Canis lupus familiaris: one gene and its partners. The protein of the gene in region 1 purifies or fractionates together with the protein of each later gene. This does not show direct contact. Links are inferred from orthologs where the notes say so. Each region holds a gene or a part of one and is shown on either strand. Other genes may lie near its edges. The genes, in order: TUBB, LRRK2, RICTOR and EEF1A1.

Region 1 (4,251 bases):
GTAGGGAGCCCGATGTGGGACTCGACTCCGTGTCTCCAGGATCACGCCCTGCGAAGGCGCGCTAAACCGCTGAGCCACCAGGGCTGCCCTAAGAACCCCTTTTGATGGGGGAACAGAGGACTGGCTGAGGACAAAGCACAAGCCCAGGGCAGCACATTGACAAGCCCTTGAAACAGGCAGAGGGACCTTCCTCTACGGACTCAACTGCCTCGATGTTCATACTTTGCTAAGGAGAAAAGGCAATCTTAGCCCAACCCCCAGGATCCTGTAAGTCTTTTTAACATAAAAATTCCTTTAGAAAGATCCTTTATCTAAACCCACAAGATACATGTTGGCAATCATCCCCTAAGCACATGGCCCACCCACACACATCTAAAGGGTCTCACGAATCAGGTTTTATTAGCCGGTAATAAGTGACCTTTTCCCAACAATAGCTGGTCCCCTCAAGGTCCTGGAAACCTTGCTTCCAAATTCCTTAGAGAGTACGCTATCCTCAAACCCCTCCCAACTCCCAGGTATATAATCAGCCACCCCTCACCGGGCAGCAGCTCTTCCTGCCCACGGGTCCTGTCCCCCTGCTTTAATAAAACCACCATTTTGCACCAAAGATGTCTCAAGAATCCTTTCTTGGTCGTCGGCTCCGAACCTCACCTTATAATTCCAAAAACTTCATCACTTTCATGGATAGACTTCTGACTTCACAGATTCTACATACCAGCTTTTCTAAACCATTCAATTTATTTGAACACACCCTCAATTACATCTCTACTCTGAAAACCTATTGCTGCATTTTTGTTTCTCTTTCTAAACATTATCATTAGAAAATTTCCAAGGAAATAACAGGAGGGCCATCCCGTTTTTCCTATCTGGGGGAGCAGCGGCTTCCTGGATTTCATGCCGTGGGTCACCGAAGGACCCGCTGTTTGCTACCAGAGCAGGGTGCCGCATTTCTCCCCAGTTTTAGCTGAGCTAAGCAGCCCTCTTACCAAGAGCTACCGCAGCAGGGAACGTTCAGGGCGTGCCCACTTCGCCTTCCAACTCCTGGCACCCCAGGGTTCCCAATGCCTGTATCCCCCCCAAATGACTCCCTTTTAGTACAAAAAACTCAAGTGTAGGGGAAAGAAATTTGCGCAAGGTCATTTTTCATTAAAAAACAACAACAAGGCCAACTCTACCCCCCCCCCAACCAAAAATCCAGTATCCACTCATCCCTCCCTTCATTTTCCAGCGTAGACAACAATGGAGGACTACGACTCCCAGGGAGGCCAGCGTTCATCCACCCGAGCGGAGCCCAATAGACGAGACCTACGTGACCGGCACTGACCAATCGGGGCCCACTCCAGCGAGGCTTTGTCTGCCTGCCGCGGCGCGGGCGCTCTCCCGCCTGCAGCCTCCGCGCACGCGCGCCCCGCCCTGCCCGCCTTTCCTCCTTCTTCGCCCTCCCCGCTTCTTTCTACATCTCAACGTTCCTGTCGCTGCGCTCGGACCTCGTTGCTCCAGCCTCTGGACGCGTCCCATCCTTCCAGCCTGCGAATTGCAGTATAGGAAAAAACCCCATCTCACTTTCTGCCCCGTACACACCTTTGAGAGAAGCAAAAAGAATTAAAATAAATTTTAACAATGAGGGAAATCGTGCACATCCAGGCCGGTCAGTGTGGTAACCAGATCGGTGCCAAGGTAAGGATTTTAAGCCTTTTCTTTTAACTATTTTTTTTTTAGAAGAAAAACAAATCCAGCTAAATGATGAAGAATGTGGGACATATTTGCGTTCCATCCATTGTCCCGCTTTGCCCTCAAAAGTTTTCCATATACAATACACGGTTGCAGCTAGAATTTACTTTTGAAAAATGGGGGAATTGTACTTGGCTGGCTAATTTTGGGTGAGCTTTTGAGGACGTTTCGGGTTTGGAGTCGGAAGACTGGCTCTTTAAAATTTTACTTGAAAGTGTTGTAGTGGTCCGAGGAACGGGGAGAGAGGAGATGCGGAAACGGTCCGAGATACAGCGCGGAGAGGCTGTCCCCGTGTGCATCCCCTCCGCGGGGGGGGGCCCGGCTCCACGGAAGGGAGGGGGACAGGGAGCGCGGCTGGGCGGCGGCCGCGGGGTCCTGGGCCCACGGTGGGGAGGGGGGCGCGACGCGCCAGGGTGGGCTGCACCGCGCGGTGCCCGCCCCAAAAATGAGGGCAGTCCGCGAGGGGCGGTCCCGTAGGCCCTTGTGGATGGAAGATTGGTCCCTGCAGTATTAATTTCCTTTCATCTCCAGTAAAGAGACCCTTTTAGGGCGTGCACCGATATGGAGAAAGAGGGCGGGAGGATCCTTTTCTTTCAAGGGTCCCTCAGGGCTAAACGGTGGGAGAAGGGCCGAGAAGCCGTACTTAAAGCCAGGTATAACAAGCTAGCCAAGGAAGAAAATCGGAGGCTCAAGCGGGAGGTGGGGGTAGTTTCTTTTTCTGCGCGCGGTTACAGTGTGGCGGGGGCAGGGCAGGGAGGAAGTCCTGCTGCTACGTTGTAGCCCGGGGCTGGGCGGGGCGGGGCGGGGCTCCAAGCGCCGGGCTGGCCGGCTGGGGGCGCGCTAGCGGCACAGGCCCCCGCCCACGCGCGACGCCTCCCTTTGTCAGCGCCGACGGGCGGGCGCCGCAGTCACGTGGAGGGGCGTCCACTGCGGCGGCTTCTGTCCCTCGCCCCGGCTCGTGCGCGGGGGGAGGGTGTGCCGGTCGGCTCGGCTCGGAAGCCTCCGCCCGGCACACCCCCACCGCACCGCGTCCACCGGTCGCCGGGCCTCCGCGGCTGCACCCGAGCAGTGGACGCTGCAGCCCTTAGGGGGCTGCGGGTGTCTGGTGGAGGGCGCGGCAGGCAAGCAGAGCGCCCGGTAGGCGGCGGAGGTGCGCTCTCCGTGTGCGTGTTTGCACTTGAAATGTGTCGGTCGGGTGGGCATCACTGGCTGGGACCAGAGCTGTGCAAGTCTCCCTGCTCTTCCTCGGCAGTTCTGGGAGGTCATCAGCGATGAACACGGCATCGATCCCACCGGAACCTACCACGGTGACAGCGACCTGCAGCTGGATCGCATCTCCGTGTATTACAACGAAGCTACAGGTGAGGGCGGGAACGGGGAACGCGGGGCTCCCACTTCTCCGGGGTCTCCTTTCCAGCCCTGGAGAACCCACCTTGGGATGGGTCTGATTTTTAAAGAAGGTCTTACCCTGATTTGACTTCACGGTGGGGCAAAAGATCAGCTCTGCTGCCCCCTGGTGTCCTCCAGCTCAGCTCCATTTGGTCTTCTAGTCCACCAATTCTTATTCTTTCTTCCATATAGGTGGCAAATACGTACCTCGTGCTATCTTGGTGGATCTAGAACCTGGGACCATGGACTCTGTTCGCTCTGGTCCTTTTGGGCAGATATTCAGACCAGACAACTTTGTTTTTGGTGAGTTATGCACATATTAGTAGTGCTATTCAGTGTATTTGAAGGAAGGAGACTGCAAGAGCTAAGAAGTTATTTTTAATGCTGGAGCGTTTATCTGGGGATATGTTTTGAGATCTCTAACGCAGGGTGTTGGGAATGACCGCCTTAGATGGTAGATACTGAGGCAGGGATGTATCACAGGTGAGTAAGAAAAAAGGCACATTCGTGTATGTTATTTTAAAAGCTGAAGAGTGGAAATGGTCCTTTATCTTTGATGCTTTGCTAATAAAGAGAATTTTGTTCACCTCATTCCAGGGCAGTCTGGGGCTGGCAACAACTGGGCCAAGGGCCACTACACAGAGGGGGCTGAGCTAGTGGACTCAGTCCTGGATGTGGTGCGGAAGGAAGCTGAGAGCTGTGACTGCCTGCAGGGCTTCCAGCTGACCCACTCACTGGGTGGGGGCACAGGCTCTGGCATGGGCACGCTGCTCATCAGCAAGATCCGAGAAGAGTACCCTGACCGCATCATGAACACCTTCAGTGTGGTGCCCTCCCCCAAAGTGTCTGACACGGTGGTTGAGCCCTACAATGCCACTCTCTCTGTCCATCAGTTGGTAGAGAACACGGATGAGACCTATTGCATTGACAATGAGGCCCTGTACGACATCTGCTTCCGCACCCTCAAGCTGACCACGCCAACCTATGGGGACCTCAACCACCTTGTCTCAGCCACCATGAGTGGTGTCACCACCTGCCTCCGCTTCCCTGGTCAGCTCAATGCTGACCTCCGCAAGCTGGCAGTCAACATGGTGCCCTTCCCACGTCTCCATTTCTTCATGCCTGGCTTTG
Region 2 (3,560 bases), on another chromosome or scaffold:
TTTCTAAAGTAGAAAACCCAAGGGCACCTGGGTGGCTCAGTCAAGTGTCTGCCTTCAGCTCAGGTCATGATCTTGGGGTCCTGGGGTTTGAGCCCTACATTGGGGTCCCTGCTCAGTGGGGAGTCAGCTTCTCCCTCTTTCTCTGCTTCTCCCCCTACTATGCACACACTCTCTCCCTCTCTCTTTTGTCAAAAACATAAATAAAGTCTTTAAAAATAAATAAAATTGAAAACCCAGTTTATATGGACTAAAAAATTGCTTAGACATTGTTGAAAATCAAATTCACAATCTTGGCAACCTCATGAAAGAGCCATCTCACAATACTGAGGGAAGAAAAACATGTGGAATGGGTATCACACTGATAAGAGATGTGAAGGAAGCACAGATCAGGGTGTACATAAAAGAGAAACTCCAAAAGAAAGGAGCAAGTGGAGAAAGAACAAAGAATAGAGGAAAGATGATCCTGAGACCCCAATATTCACTCGTATTCTTTGGCTGAATTATCACTACAAAAAGTTGTGAGAGAAAGGGCATCAGAAACACGTTCTCAGATTCTCTCAGAAACATTCAGCCTCTCAGACATTCGTTTCCTTCAGGATCCTCTAATTAGTTTTATTCCCATTTCTATGCATTTGAAATGAGGAATGACAGAAGTAAGAAACCTTAAAATTGAAATACTTTAGTAATCCTAACAGCTATGAAAAAAACTCACAATTTTAAGACAGTTGTTCTCTTCTCAAGACTTCTGACAGTTGTGTAACATGAGAGTTAATAAATTATACTTATTCACCAGTCTACAGAAGGCATTAACCACGTTACCTTAAAATTAAGACTCTCATTTATGATGGTTTTCCGAAGTTTTGCCAAAGCATCAGATTCCTCAGTGGCATTCACAAAGTGGTAATCCCTTATTGCAGGAAACCCTCGCTTGTTCAAGAGTTCCTTGGTGATTTTACTTATGCAGGCTTTACGCTGCTTTTCATCAGAAACATCCAAATGCGTGCCAACGAGGATCACAGGGGAAGAAGAAGCACGAGCCTATAGGAAGTGATACAAAATATTCTTGTGTTTGTTTTAAAATCAAGACCGCTTACAGTTCTGTTCATATTTACTCTTTATGAAATTCAGTTGAGTGGAAATTAGAAATTAAAAGACATCAAGAAGAAGAAAATGTCAACTGTCTTTCCTTCCTTAAACTTAGGGGGAAAAGGTAACCTTAAGAAATTTTATTTTATTTTATTTTATTTTATTTTATTATCTTTTAACCTTAAAAAATTTTAAAGTCATTCTTATACTCCTTCTTATTCCAAGTTATACCACTTTTCAGGCAGCCTATATAACAGAAGTCTATTTTTTTCTTTTATGCCTTAAAATGGGTTATTCTGTAAGTGTATTTTGGACTTCTAAATAAAATAAGCATTTAATAAACCCAAGACTATATCAAAATGACATAATATGGTTTATATTTTCTCTTCCTTATCTATAAATTCAATCTCCTGAATTCATTTTAAAGTCATTCGATTTGGAGTCCACAGGAACAACAACAAAAAAAGGTACTAGAGCAAGTATGACCACCACTATAATATTCGCTCACTTTGGCTAGCTATGACCCAAAAAAAAAGGAAGTTAAAAAAATTACCAAAATTACAAAATGGGCTTGTATGCAGCCAAAATATCTGCTAAAATGTCCTGACACAAACTCTTTTAAGGACTTGGCTCACAGGAGAGCCCACTGATGCTTCATTCAAAGAACATCACTCACTCTTGCTTTATCTCAATTCTAAAAAGCTGTACTACATCAAGAAACACCTAACAGCATGACAGCAAGGGACAAAGTGGAAAAATTACAAAAAGGGATTCCAGATATAAGAGTTTATTAATCTGATGCCATTTAAAAGTGCAAGATCTGAAGTACTTCTTACTACATTGCCAGTGAGGACATAACTGATGATGTATGGATTGCTTTTGTTTAGTATAGTTTAAGTCAGGGAAGTTCATCCTCCATTTAAGAAATAAAACGATCAAGGGTGCCCAGGTGGCTCAGTCAGTTAAGAATCTAACTCTTGATCTCAGCTCAGGTCATGATCTCAGGGTTTTAAGATTGATCCCTGCATTAGGCTCCACGCTGGGCATGAAGCCTGCTGCTTGGGATTCTCTCTCCCTTTCACTCTGCCCCTCCCTCCTCAAAAATAAAATAAAATAAAATGATCAAAAATAGTTATACATTTTCCATTCTTTCAGCTTAAAGGGCTTTAAGTATCCATAACATTTACCAATATGGAATACACTATTTTCATGTCACAACCTAATTACACTTTAAAATTCTCAACTCAAAACGTTAATGCTTCTAATTTTATTTTTAAAAACTTAGGAGGCTGTTTGAAGCAACTGTCCAAAATCAATTACATTACATGTAGAAAATTTTTTTAAAAAATTAAGATTTTATTTATTTATCCATGAGAGACACAGAGGCAGAGACACGGGCAGAGGGAGAAGCAGGCTCCATGCAGCAAGCCTGATGTGGGACTTGAACCCGGGAACCCGGGATCATGCACTGAGCCAAAGGCAGACACCCAACCGCTAAGCCACCCAGGCATCCCTAAAAAATATTTTCTACTTTCAAATAATTAGAACACTTGACCTTTATATTGAAGAGCCAAGGCTTCATGGCATCCACTTCAGCCTGCCCTTTGCTGAGATCATAAACAGCAAGGTAAAGGGCTCGTTGGGTCATGAAGTGGGGATGAGTGCTGTAGAATTCCTCACGACCTAAAGAAGGATTAGAGACTTCTTTTAGCTTTCCAAACAATAAGCAAGAAGCCTTTAAAAAGTTTTTTTCTTAGGTGATAATATCTAATATTTAGCATACAAAAAGAGAGAGAGATAGAAATAGCCAAAGACAATGTTTAGAAGACCCCATTGGGCTCGTACTAGGAGTTGGTAACTTTTAGCGTGTGTGTCAATTACCAACCCCCTGAAGTATTGAAGCTTCAGCTGGCTCCAACTGTTAGTTCCTAACACCAGAATTCCATGAAATTCACTCTGGTGGCAAGGGTAAAATTAGAAGTAAATGGCTTTGGAATAATTCCATAGGATCTACTGGGTCTCTCTGCAGTATTGGAATAAGATCTCAGCTTTTAAATCCCTGTCCTAAATAAAAGAAAATTCTGAATAAAGGATTTTAGCAAAATAAATACCTGCAAAATCCCACACATTTAGAATGAGGTCTTTCTTCCCTTTGCCTCTTATTTGGATAGGCCAGTCTTTTACATCTATACCAACTGTGGCACTCTGCACCCCGAGATCTGATTTCTTGGTTTTTGTTAATTGCTGCAATAAGGTAGTTTTACCACTCCCAGTATTTCCCACAATCATAAGCTTCATTCGGTTATAGGGCACAGCCTTTTTTAACCGCTGTTGAAGAAACCTGGTATTTGAAAAACAAAAATTAAATGATAAACTGCTTAACAGTGTACTTAAGATATAGGTGAATTCTTATTCATTGAAATTTTTAAAATATCAGACTGTCCTCAAATATAGTATGCAAAAGATTGCATAGC
Region 3 (4,019 bases), on another chromosome or scaffold:
CCATGATTCACAACGGCAAATGTTATCTCCAGTCTTGCTTTTTTTTGTTTTTTTTTTTCCTTAAGTAACGCAAAAAAGAGCACTGGAACAAAGGAACCCAAGGCACTTATTATTCATCGAACTTATTATTTATTGAATGCTTATTTATCCTGGACATTGCACGACCTGGGAGGAGAGAGGTCGTTAAAGCAGGAGCTCCACTGTTTAACTTCCAGTCTCTTGTGATTTAAAAAAGAAAAAACAACCACACACACACACCAAGTTGGGGAATAGGAGGCGGCACGAGGCTCACCCGGTCTTGAAAGTTCGTGCACTTTAAAGAGAAGGCTGCTGGGTCAGAGGCCAGGTGTCTGTGTATGGACTGGGTGAAGCAGTTTCTGGAATTGAAAGCTCCACCGCGAGTAACGACTGGGTTTCCGCGCGGACAATGCGAAGCCGCCACCCCTCCGGGGGCCGGGCTCGGGCCGCACGCCCCGGGGAGCCGGAGCCGGAGCCGCCCGCCGCCCCCGGGTCCCCCCGCGCCGCCCCCGGGTCCCCCCGCGCCGCCCCGCGCCCTCCGCTTCCCGCCTCCCTCCCGCCGGCGGCCCGGGACCGAGCGCCCGCCCGGCCGCCCCCTTGGACCGAGTGTGGCTCGGAAGCCCCAAGCGCAGGCTGCTTCGCGCGCGGCGGTCGCGGCCGAGGGCGGAAACCAAGTTGGCTTAACGCGCCGAGTCGGCCGCAGCGAAGCGGTCCGGGAAGGGCCCGCGCCAGGCGACGCCGCGCAGCTGTGCCCGTGCAGAGCGCACGGGGTCTCGACTGGCGAGCGGCGAGGGCAGGGCTGCTCCCGGCTCGCCTCGGCTCCCGTTACAGTCCCCGCCGCCCCGGAGGGGGAGCGTCTTCCACGCGGCAGGCCCCGTCAATGGGATTCCCCTCGTGGGCACTGCCGCCTCCCGGCACGCGGGCTCTCGGAGGGCCGGGCGCGCCGGGGGGGGGGGGGGGGGCGCGCGCCGCGAGCTGCACCGAGCCCCGGGGTGGGCGCCGCGCCCCTGCTCGCCCCTCCTCGCCCCTCCTCGCCCTCCTCGCCCCTCCTCGCCCCGGGCCGAGCCCCCGCCGCCGCCGCCGCCGCGCGCGCGGAGGGGGGCTGTGGGGGAGGGGGCGGGCGCGGCGCGCGGGGCAGGGAAGGGGTTCTCGCGCGATCGGGCGAGGTTTCCGGTGTTGTGACTGAAACCCGTCAATATGGCGGCGATCGGCCGCGGCCGCTCGCTGAAGAACCTCCGAATACGAGGTAAGCCCGCTGCAACCCTCCCCCCCACTGCCTGGGGCCCGCGACCCCTGGCCCCGGCCTCCCCCTGGCCTCGGGCAGGCGGGGCCCTCAGGGGCGCTGGCCGGAGCCGGGGCCGCCGCCGCCGGCCTGCGAGCGCGTCCTAACCGGAGCTGTGTGTCTGTTTCGCACAGGGCGGAATGACAGCGGCGAGGAGAACGTCCCGCTGGATCTGACCCGAGGTAACGCGGGGCGCCGCGGGCGCCGGCCGGGGCGCGCTGTGGGGAGGGGCCGGGGGCGGGGGCCGGGGCCGGGGCCGGGGGCCGGGGGCAGGGGCGGGCCCCGCGCGGGCGGCGGGGGCGCGGGAGGCAGAGCCCGAGCCCGAGCCCGAGCCCGAGCCCGAGCCCGGGGCCGCCTCCCGGGACCCATCCCCCTTCCCAGTGCCCGCGCCCCGCGCCCCGCGCCTTTCTCCGGGCCTCCGGGTGCGGCGGGCGCCGGCCCACGCCGAGCGGGACTCCGCGGGGCGGGCGACCCCCGGGGCTCTCCGCACCCCCGCCCGGAGGCGGCCGGCGGGAGGTCGGGCTGTTACTTAGGCTGCCGGAGGATGTCGGAGGGAAGAGCGACCACATCCTGCCCTCCCCGTCCCCCCGCGCGGCGGCCGGACCTGCCGGGTCCTTGCCGGCCCGCGCCGCTGCTTTCCTCCTTGCCCCCCGGCCCCGGGCGGTGGGGGGGGGGGGCAGCGTGGCTGACTCGGCAGTGACCCCTGGAATCGGGGACTGCGGCTCGGTGTCTGGGCTGCGCCGGCGGTCCATGCCCGCTTCCCGTGCCCGGGCGGCTGGGACCGTAGTTGGCCGAGACCGCCCCCTCACCCTCGCCGCAGGTTCATTGTTTACCTTCTGCCGCGGCGGCGGGTTTGTTTACACCTTGGGAACGGGGCGAACCCCGCGCTGGCGTTTGGAAGGACCCGGTCCAGCTACTGGCCAGCGAATCTCCCGTGTAGTTCACCGTGCTGGAGTCTGTTCGACAGTATCTCGCCCAAGATGTAGTAGTTACACGCCAAGGATTTTTTTCTTTCTTTTCTTTCTTTCTTTCTTTATTTCTTTTTTTTTCCCCCCTTCCACCGTAAACAGGATTTGGTCTACTGATGCCAAAGAAGTCCGATTTCACACTGGCTGTAGCCGAGTGTAAACTGGTTCGGCTGCCTGAGAATCGGCTTCCTTTCTGAGATCTGAAAAACACTTTAGGAAGTCCGAGTCGTAAACATTTTATTAGAAATTCGAAAAATCTAACCCGTGTGCTGCTTGACGCAACGACTGTTATCTAAAGTATTTGTCAGACGCAGGCCCATTGTTGAGGCTCATCCCTGGTATTTAAAGCATAATGCATTATCTGGCTTGCCTTATTTTGTCTGTCCTAGGGTAAGATAACTGTGTCATCAACTAAACAGCTACTTTCCATGTAGCTGCCAGAGTACGTTTTTGTAAGAATCTTTCATTCTGAAAGTTCAGGGACTTTGCTTTGGCCGAAACTAGGTGCTGGTGTGACAGGCAGAAAGGGTTTCTACCGATGCACTGAATTGGAACTTCTTTCAGCAGATAGGGTTTGAGTGTTAGTATACAAAGATGTAAACGCTTTTGACTGTTGTGTAACCTTTTGGAAACCTCACTATATAAAACACACACGAAAAAAATCTATGTAAAATGTGTGTGGGGAAAAGATTTTCTAGTAAGTTTCCTTACAAAAACGAAATTCCCACGGAGTTGAAAATTAGCATTTGAGTTCTGTAACAGATGTGCTTTATTAGTGATTTAATTTCTATGTGGGCATATGCGTCTATATGGTGAAAAGAGCATTTATTAGATCTTCTGTCTCAATTTCACGTTAAAAGCTTGTTGGGATGTGGTGCTGAAAACAAGTTATATTTGTGCCTTAGGTTTGCTGAGCTGCTATATATAGTAGTTTCTGTGGTTGGTATCAAAATTTTGGTTTGTAAAAGAGCTCATGTACAAATTTGATAAACCCTTGATTTACTCCAATCTTACTCAAGTACACAGATAACTCTGTATGTTTACTATTTAAAATGTCATATGCCCGGAGCACTTTGTGAACACCATTGTTGACAGGCATTTTTAGGATGATGCAAAAGGCAGAAGAAAATGGTATTTCTGCTTGCCCTGACAAAATACAAATTAGTTTGGAATATACACAGCCAATTGCAATGGATTGCAAAAGACATATGCAAATAAGAGAGGCTATATAGGAATAAAACATTCATTATATAGGGAAGTTATAGAAGTACTAGTAGATCTAAGGTGATGAAAATCACAAAGAATTACACTTTTGTAATAGTTTGAGAACTATAGGGCAGTTTGGGTTGCAGCCGAAGGGCAGCTGTTTGTGGATTGGATTACGGTATGTTTTAGATAAGATTGGGTAACCAAAACTAGGTTTTTAATGCGAAGGCAGTGTTTGCCCTCATTTTAATTGTTCTATGCAACCTTTGAGAAGTTCGTTAATGTAGCTATCTCACAAAGTTCATCATTAAATAGAGGTCATGGTCATTGTAATTCCTAAAGGAGCCAATCAATGTATAGTGAAAAGAGATCAGACTGTAAAGTCAAATAGTTCTGGGTTGTAATCTCAGCTAGGATCCTTAATAGTTAGGTGATGTGGGGCAAGTTATTTGACCTTGCTTAACTCTTGGTTTCTTCATCTCAGAGAGAACTTCAAAGGGTTATTAAGAATGTGAGAAGTAAATGAACTAATGCTTAAAATAGTA
Region 4 (4,098 bases), about 35 Mb from region 1:
ATGGAGTTAAAATCCATTTAACAGAAAATGAACTAATTTATTTAAATGGGCTAGGCCACCTTTAAGAAGCAGTGATTCGCAGCAAGTGTTGGGGATAGGAAATTGGGTGGATAAGCTTGCTGAAGCCGTAGATCTTAGTTTCTACTTGAGATCATGCGGAAAGACTGAATTTGAAAAATTCTTTTTAGGTTGCTCATGCTAGCAATCAAATGAGTGTACACTGTAGAAAAAATGTACCACGAGAGTAGACACACATAGGGTCTTTCTATAACGTAATGAAACTAGAGTTAAAAGGCAGACTGTGGGATTGAAATCTATTCTGAACTGAAGAACTAGACGTCTGGAGTACCATATGGGGTGAACGTGTGACTCGGGCTTCGGTAAAAGCAGCGGGCTCGGACTGGAACAAGCCAAAAGGCTAGCCCAAGAGCACATTCGTCCGGGTCACGGCCACCGAGTTGAAACCCTTGCGGATTCTCCGGCTGTGAAGGCGGCCCCTCGGGTCCCTCGCTGCCCTGGGAGCCCGGGCCTTGTACTCTCCAGCCCCGAGAGGAAGAGAAGGCAGGGGCGAGGGAGGAGCCAGCCCAGGGCGGACCTGCGACGAGCGGAGGAAGCGGCTCAAAGGGGCAGTCCTGGACCTTGGAGAGGACCAGGTTAAGAACTGGAGGTATACTGCGGAGGGAAGGCGTACTCCAATCGCCACACCATCTTTGCAGTTAAACCAGGAACCGTAGAGGGCAGATTCAGTACTTCCCCGCAGGGCCGCCTCCTCGCCCCCCCGCCCGCCCCTTCAGCTGGAGCTGAGAGTAATTCATACAAAGGAGGACTCGCTTCAGCCTCGGGGAATCCCAGGGACCGTCGTTAAACTCTCACTAACATAGAACGAGCGGAAAGCTCGTCCCCGCCTCCCCACCCACTCACTCTCGCCGTCATCGGGGTCAAGAGGAGCATGCGCGAGGAGATGTGCGCTCTTTAGTGGGCTGAGCGCACATCGCCCACGGTCCCCGAGCAGTAGGGGGAGGGGATGGCGACCGAACCGGTGCCTGATGGAGTTGGCGCGGGGTAAACTGGGAAAGTGGTGTCGTGTGCTGGCTCCGCCCTCTTCCCCGAGGGTGGGGGAGGACCGTATATAAGTGCCGTAGCCGCCTTGAACGTTCTTTTTCGCAACGGGTTTGCCGCCAGAACACAGGTGAGTGCCGGGTGTGGCTCCCGCGGGCCTGGCCTCTTTGAGCTGCCAGCGGCCCTCGCGTGCCTTTTACAACGGCCGCGCCACCGAGCCACTTTACGATGTTCTTGACCCCGAATTTCGGATTGTGAGTGGGTGGGAAGGTTCCAGGCCTTGCGCCTTTTTTTAGGACCCCTTTTGCCTCGTGGTTGGTTTGAGGCCTGGCTTGGGTGTTGTGGCGGCCGCGTGCGAATTCCGCCGCACCTTCTTGCCTGCCCTCGTACAGTGGTTTAAGCCTCCAGACGTTTGACCTACCAAAAGAAGGCCGCTATGGTTTTCTCCGTCGAGATGGTTGAGCGGAGGTTGGTCAGGACTTGAACGGGGTGGGCTTTTCCGCGGTCGTCGCGTTCTTGGGGTGTGGGGCCGCCGCGAGGCGCGGAGGGCGGCGACGAGGCCCGCTCGTCCCGGCGCACATGTCCGACGAGGCGGGGAAGGCCCACGAGCCGTGGGCGCCGCGTCGGACGCGGGAGAGTCCCGTGGAGTGGGCCGGGCGGCTCTGGTGCCGGGCCTCGCGCCGCGATGTACCGTCCTACGCCGGGCGGAGAGGCCGGCCCGCTCGGCACCAGTTGCGTGCGCGGAAAGATGGCCGCTCTCCGGCCCTGCTGCAGGCAGCTCAAAATGGAGGACGCGGCGGCCCGGGAGAGCGGGCGGGTGAGTCACCCACACAAAGGAAAAGGGCCTTTCCCTGTTAGGCCGCTGCTTCCTGTGACCCTACGGTGTACCGAACGCCGTCTTGGCACCTCCATTCCGCCTCAACGCCTTACAAGCAGGCCTTCCCCGGAGGGGGGAGGGGATTTTATGCGGTGGAGTTAACCCCACGCTTGGTGGGTGGAGACGAGAGTTGGGCCAGCTTGGCCCTGGTTGTAATTCTTGGAATTTGGTCTCTGCGAGTTTGGTCGTGGCTTATTTTCAAGCCTCCGGGACAGTAGTTAAAAGGGTTTGTTCCTACCCTAAAATTTAGGTGTCGTGAAAACCACCGCTAAACCTAAACCAAAATGGGAAAGGAGAAGACTCACATCAACATCGTCGTCATTGGACACGTAGATTCGGGCAAGTCTACCACTACTGGCCATCTGATCTACAAATGTGGTGGGATCGACAAAAGAACTATCGAAAAATTTGAGAAGGAGGCTGCTGAGGTTGGTATACTAACTTAATGAGAGATCGTTAAAAAAAAGTCGGCCAGTGTCAACTTCCCCAAAACTAGTTACTAGTCTATCAGAATCTGCTGCTTGTGGTAGATTGTTTGTGCTTGCTGAAGAGTTTTTTATCTATGTAACTTTGGGAGATAGAACTACCTAACTGTAAAGTGGAATCCGCATTTCTGCTTAAGCAGGAGTTAGGGATTTCAAGTTGGAAGTTTGTGTTTAAGTTACCAAGTAACCATTCTTAATCCTTACAGATGGGAAAAGGCTCCTTCAAGTATGCCTGGGTCTTGGATAAACTGAAAGCTGAACGTGAACGTGGTATCACCATTGATATCTCCCTGTGGAAATTCGAGACCAGCAAGTATTACGTGACCATCATTGATGCCCCAGGACACAGAGACTTTATCAAAAACATGATTACAGGCACATCTCAGGTTTGTAGGATTACTTGAAAATAACTGTAGGCTTGGGTTTTGTATGGGAAAAAAGGGGGAGTTCATCTTTTTGAGGAACATTTATTTAACAGGATGTCTTTTTGTCTTTTAAAGGCTGACTGTGCTGTCCTGATTGTTGCTGCTGGTGTTGGTGAATTTGAAGCAGGTATCTCCAAGAATGGGCAGACCCGTGAGCATGCCCTTCTGGCTTACACACTGGGTGTAAAACAACTAATTGTTGGTGTTAACAAAATGGATTCCACTGAACCACCCTACAGCCAGAAGAGATACGAGGAAATCGTTAAAGAAGTCAGCACCTACATTAAGAAAATTGGCTACAACCCCGACACAGTAGCATTTGTGCCAATTTCTGGTTGGAATGGTGACAACATGCTGGAGCCAAGTGCTAACGTAAGTGACTTCAAGGCTTTGAGGAAGTGATAGAAGAGGCATATGTTGACACTAAATGACAACAGTTTGGGGAATGCTAATGGACAATCTTGTTTTTTTAGATGCCTTGGTTCAAGGGATGGAAAGTCACCCGTAAAGATGGGAATGCCAGCGGAACCACACTGCTTGAAGCCCTGGATTGCATTCTGCCACCAACTCGTCCAACTGATAAGCCCTTGCGTCTGCCTCTCCAAGACGTCTACAAAATTGGTGGTAAGTTGAACATTGCCATTTAAAAATACGATTTATGGATTGTTCTTCACAGAAGGTATCTGACACGATGCTTCTAAATATTTTAGGTATTGGTACTGTCCCAGTGGGTCGAGTGGAGACTGGTGTTCTTAAGCCTGGTATGGTGGTCACCTTTGCTCCAGTCAATGTTACAACTGAAGTAAAGTCTGTTGAAATGCACCATGAAGCTTTGAGTGAGGCTCTTCCTGGGGACAATGTGGGCTTCAATGTCAAGAACGTATCTGTCAAAGATGTTCGTCGTGGCAATGTGGCTGGTGACAGCAAAAATGACCCACCAATGGAAGCAGCTGGCTTCACAGCTCAGGTAACACACTTAAGAGTGGCAATGTTCTCTTTGCTAGATCCTGTTTGAAATGTATTAAATGCAATTTTTTCCTCCAAGGTGATTATCCTGAACCATCCAGGCCAAATCAGTGCTGGATATGCACCTGTGCTGGATTGTCACACAGCTCACATTGCCTGCAAGTTTGCTGAGCTGAAGGAAAAGATAGATCGTCGTTCTGGAAAGAAGCTGGAAGATGGTCCCAAGTTCTTGAAATCTGGGGATGCTGCCATTGTTGATATGGTTCCTGGCAAACCTATGTGTGTT

The links.
Region 2: the proteins of TUBB (region 1) and LRRK2 purify together in Homo sapiens (co-immunoprecipitation; 5 studies listed by BioGRID and IntAct, with this or other methods). This does not show direct contact. The link is inferred for Canis lupus familiaris from reciprocal best matches to the Homo sapiens genes TUBB and LRRK2.
Region 3: the proteins of TUBB (region 1) and RICTOR purify together in Homo sapiens (affinity purification with mass spectrometry; 3 studies listed by BioGRID and IntAct, with this or other methods). This does not show direct contact. The link is inferred for Canis lupus familiaris from reciprocal best matches to the Homo sapiens genes TUBB and RICTOR.
Region 4: the proteins of TUBB (region 1) and EEF1A1 fractionate together in Homo sapiens (co-fractionation; 3 studies listed by BioGRID). This does not show direct contact. The link is inferred for Canis lupus familiaris from reciprocal best matches to the Homo sapiens genes TUBB and EEF1A1.

What each region holds. Positions count from the first base shown.
Region 1 is NC_049233.1:649,867-654,117, forward strand, and holds the start of TUBB (tubulin beta chain), read left to right. Parts: upstream 1-1,420; 5' UTR 1,421-1,620; coding exon 1,621-1,677; intron 1,678-2,983; coding exon 2,984-3,092; intron 3,093-3,312; coding exon 3,313-3,423; intron 3,424-3,717; coding exon 3,718-4,251. UniProt on the Homo sapiens protein: Tubulin is the major constituent of microtubules, a cylinder consisting of laterally associated linear protofilaments composed of alpha- and beta-tubulin heterodimers.
Region 2 is NC_049248.1:33,236,109-33,239,668, reverse strand, and holds part of LRRK2 (leucine-rich repeat serine/threonine-protein kinase 2), read right to left. Parts: intron 3,428-3,560; coding exon 3,198-3,427; intron 2,770-3,197; coding exon 2,642-2,769; intron 1,039-2,641; coding exon 820-1,038; intron 1-819. UniProt on the Homo sapiens protein: Serine/threonine-protein kinase which phosphorylates a broad range of proteins involved in multiple processes such as neuronal plasticity, innate immunity, autophagy, and vesicle trafficking.
Region 3 is NC_049225.1:70,811,274-70,815,292, forward strand, and holds the start of RICTOR (rapamycin-insensitive companion of mTOR), read left to right. Parts: upstream 1-1,163; 5' UTR 1,164-1,215; coding exon 1,216-1,264; intron 1,265-1,434; coding exon 1,435-1,482; intron 1,483-2,133; exon of another isoform or gene 2,134-2,643; intron 2,644-4,019. UniProt on the Homo sapiens protein: Component of the mechanistic target of rapamycin complex 2 (mTORC2), which transduces signals from growth factors to pathways involved in proliferation, cytoskeletal organization, lipogenesis and anabolic output.
Region 4 is NC_049233.1:35,820,434-35,824,531, reverse strand, and holds the start of EEF1A1 (elongation factor 1-alpha 1), read left to right. Parts: upstream 1-1,252; intron 1,253-1,367; coding exon of another isoform or gene 1,368-1,476; intron 1,477-1,539; coding exon of another isoform or gene 1,540-1,640; intron 1,641-2,186; 5' UTR 2,187-2,220; coding exon 2,221-2,364; intron 2,365-2,627; coding exon 2,628-2,807; intron 2,808-2,921; coding exon 2,922-3,218; intron 3,219-3,319; coding exon 3,320-3,470; intron 3,471-3,556; coding exon 3,557-3,813; intron 3,814-3,891; coding exon 3,892-4,098. Other genes in the region: uncharacterized protein LOC119874198, read right to left, coding at 350-595, 922-1,252, 1,368-1,476, 1,540-1,640. UniProt on the Homo sapiens protein: Translation elongation factor that catalyzes the GTP-dependent binding of aminoacyl-tRNA (aa-tRNA) to the A-site of ribosomes during the elongation phase of protein synthesis.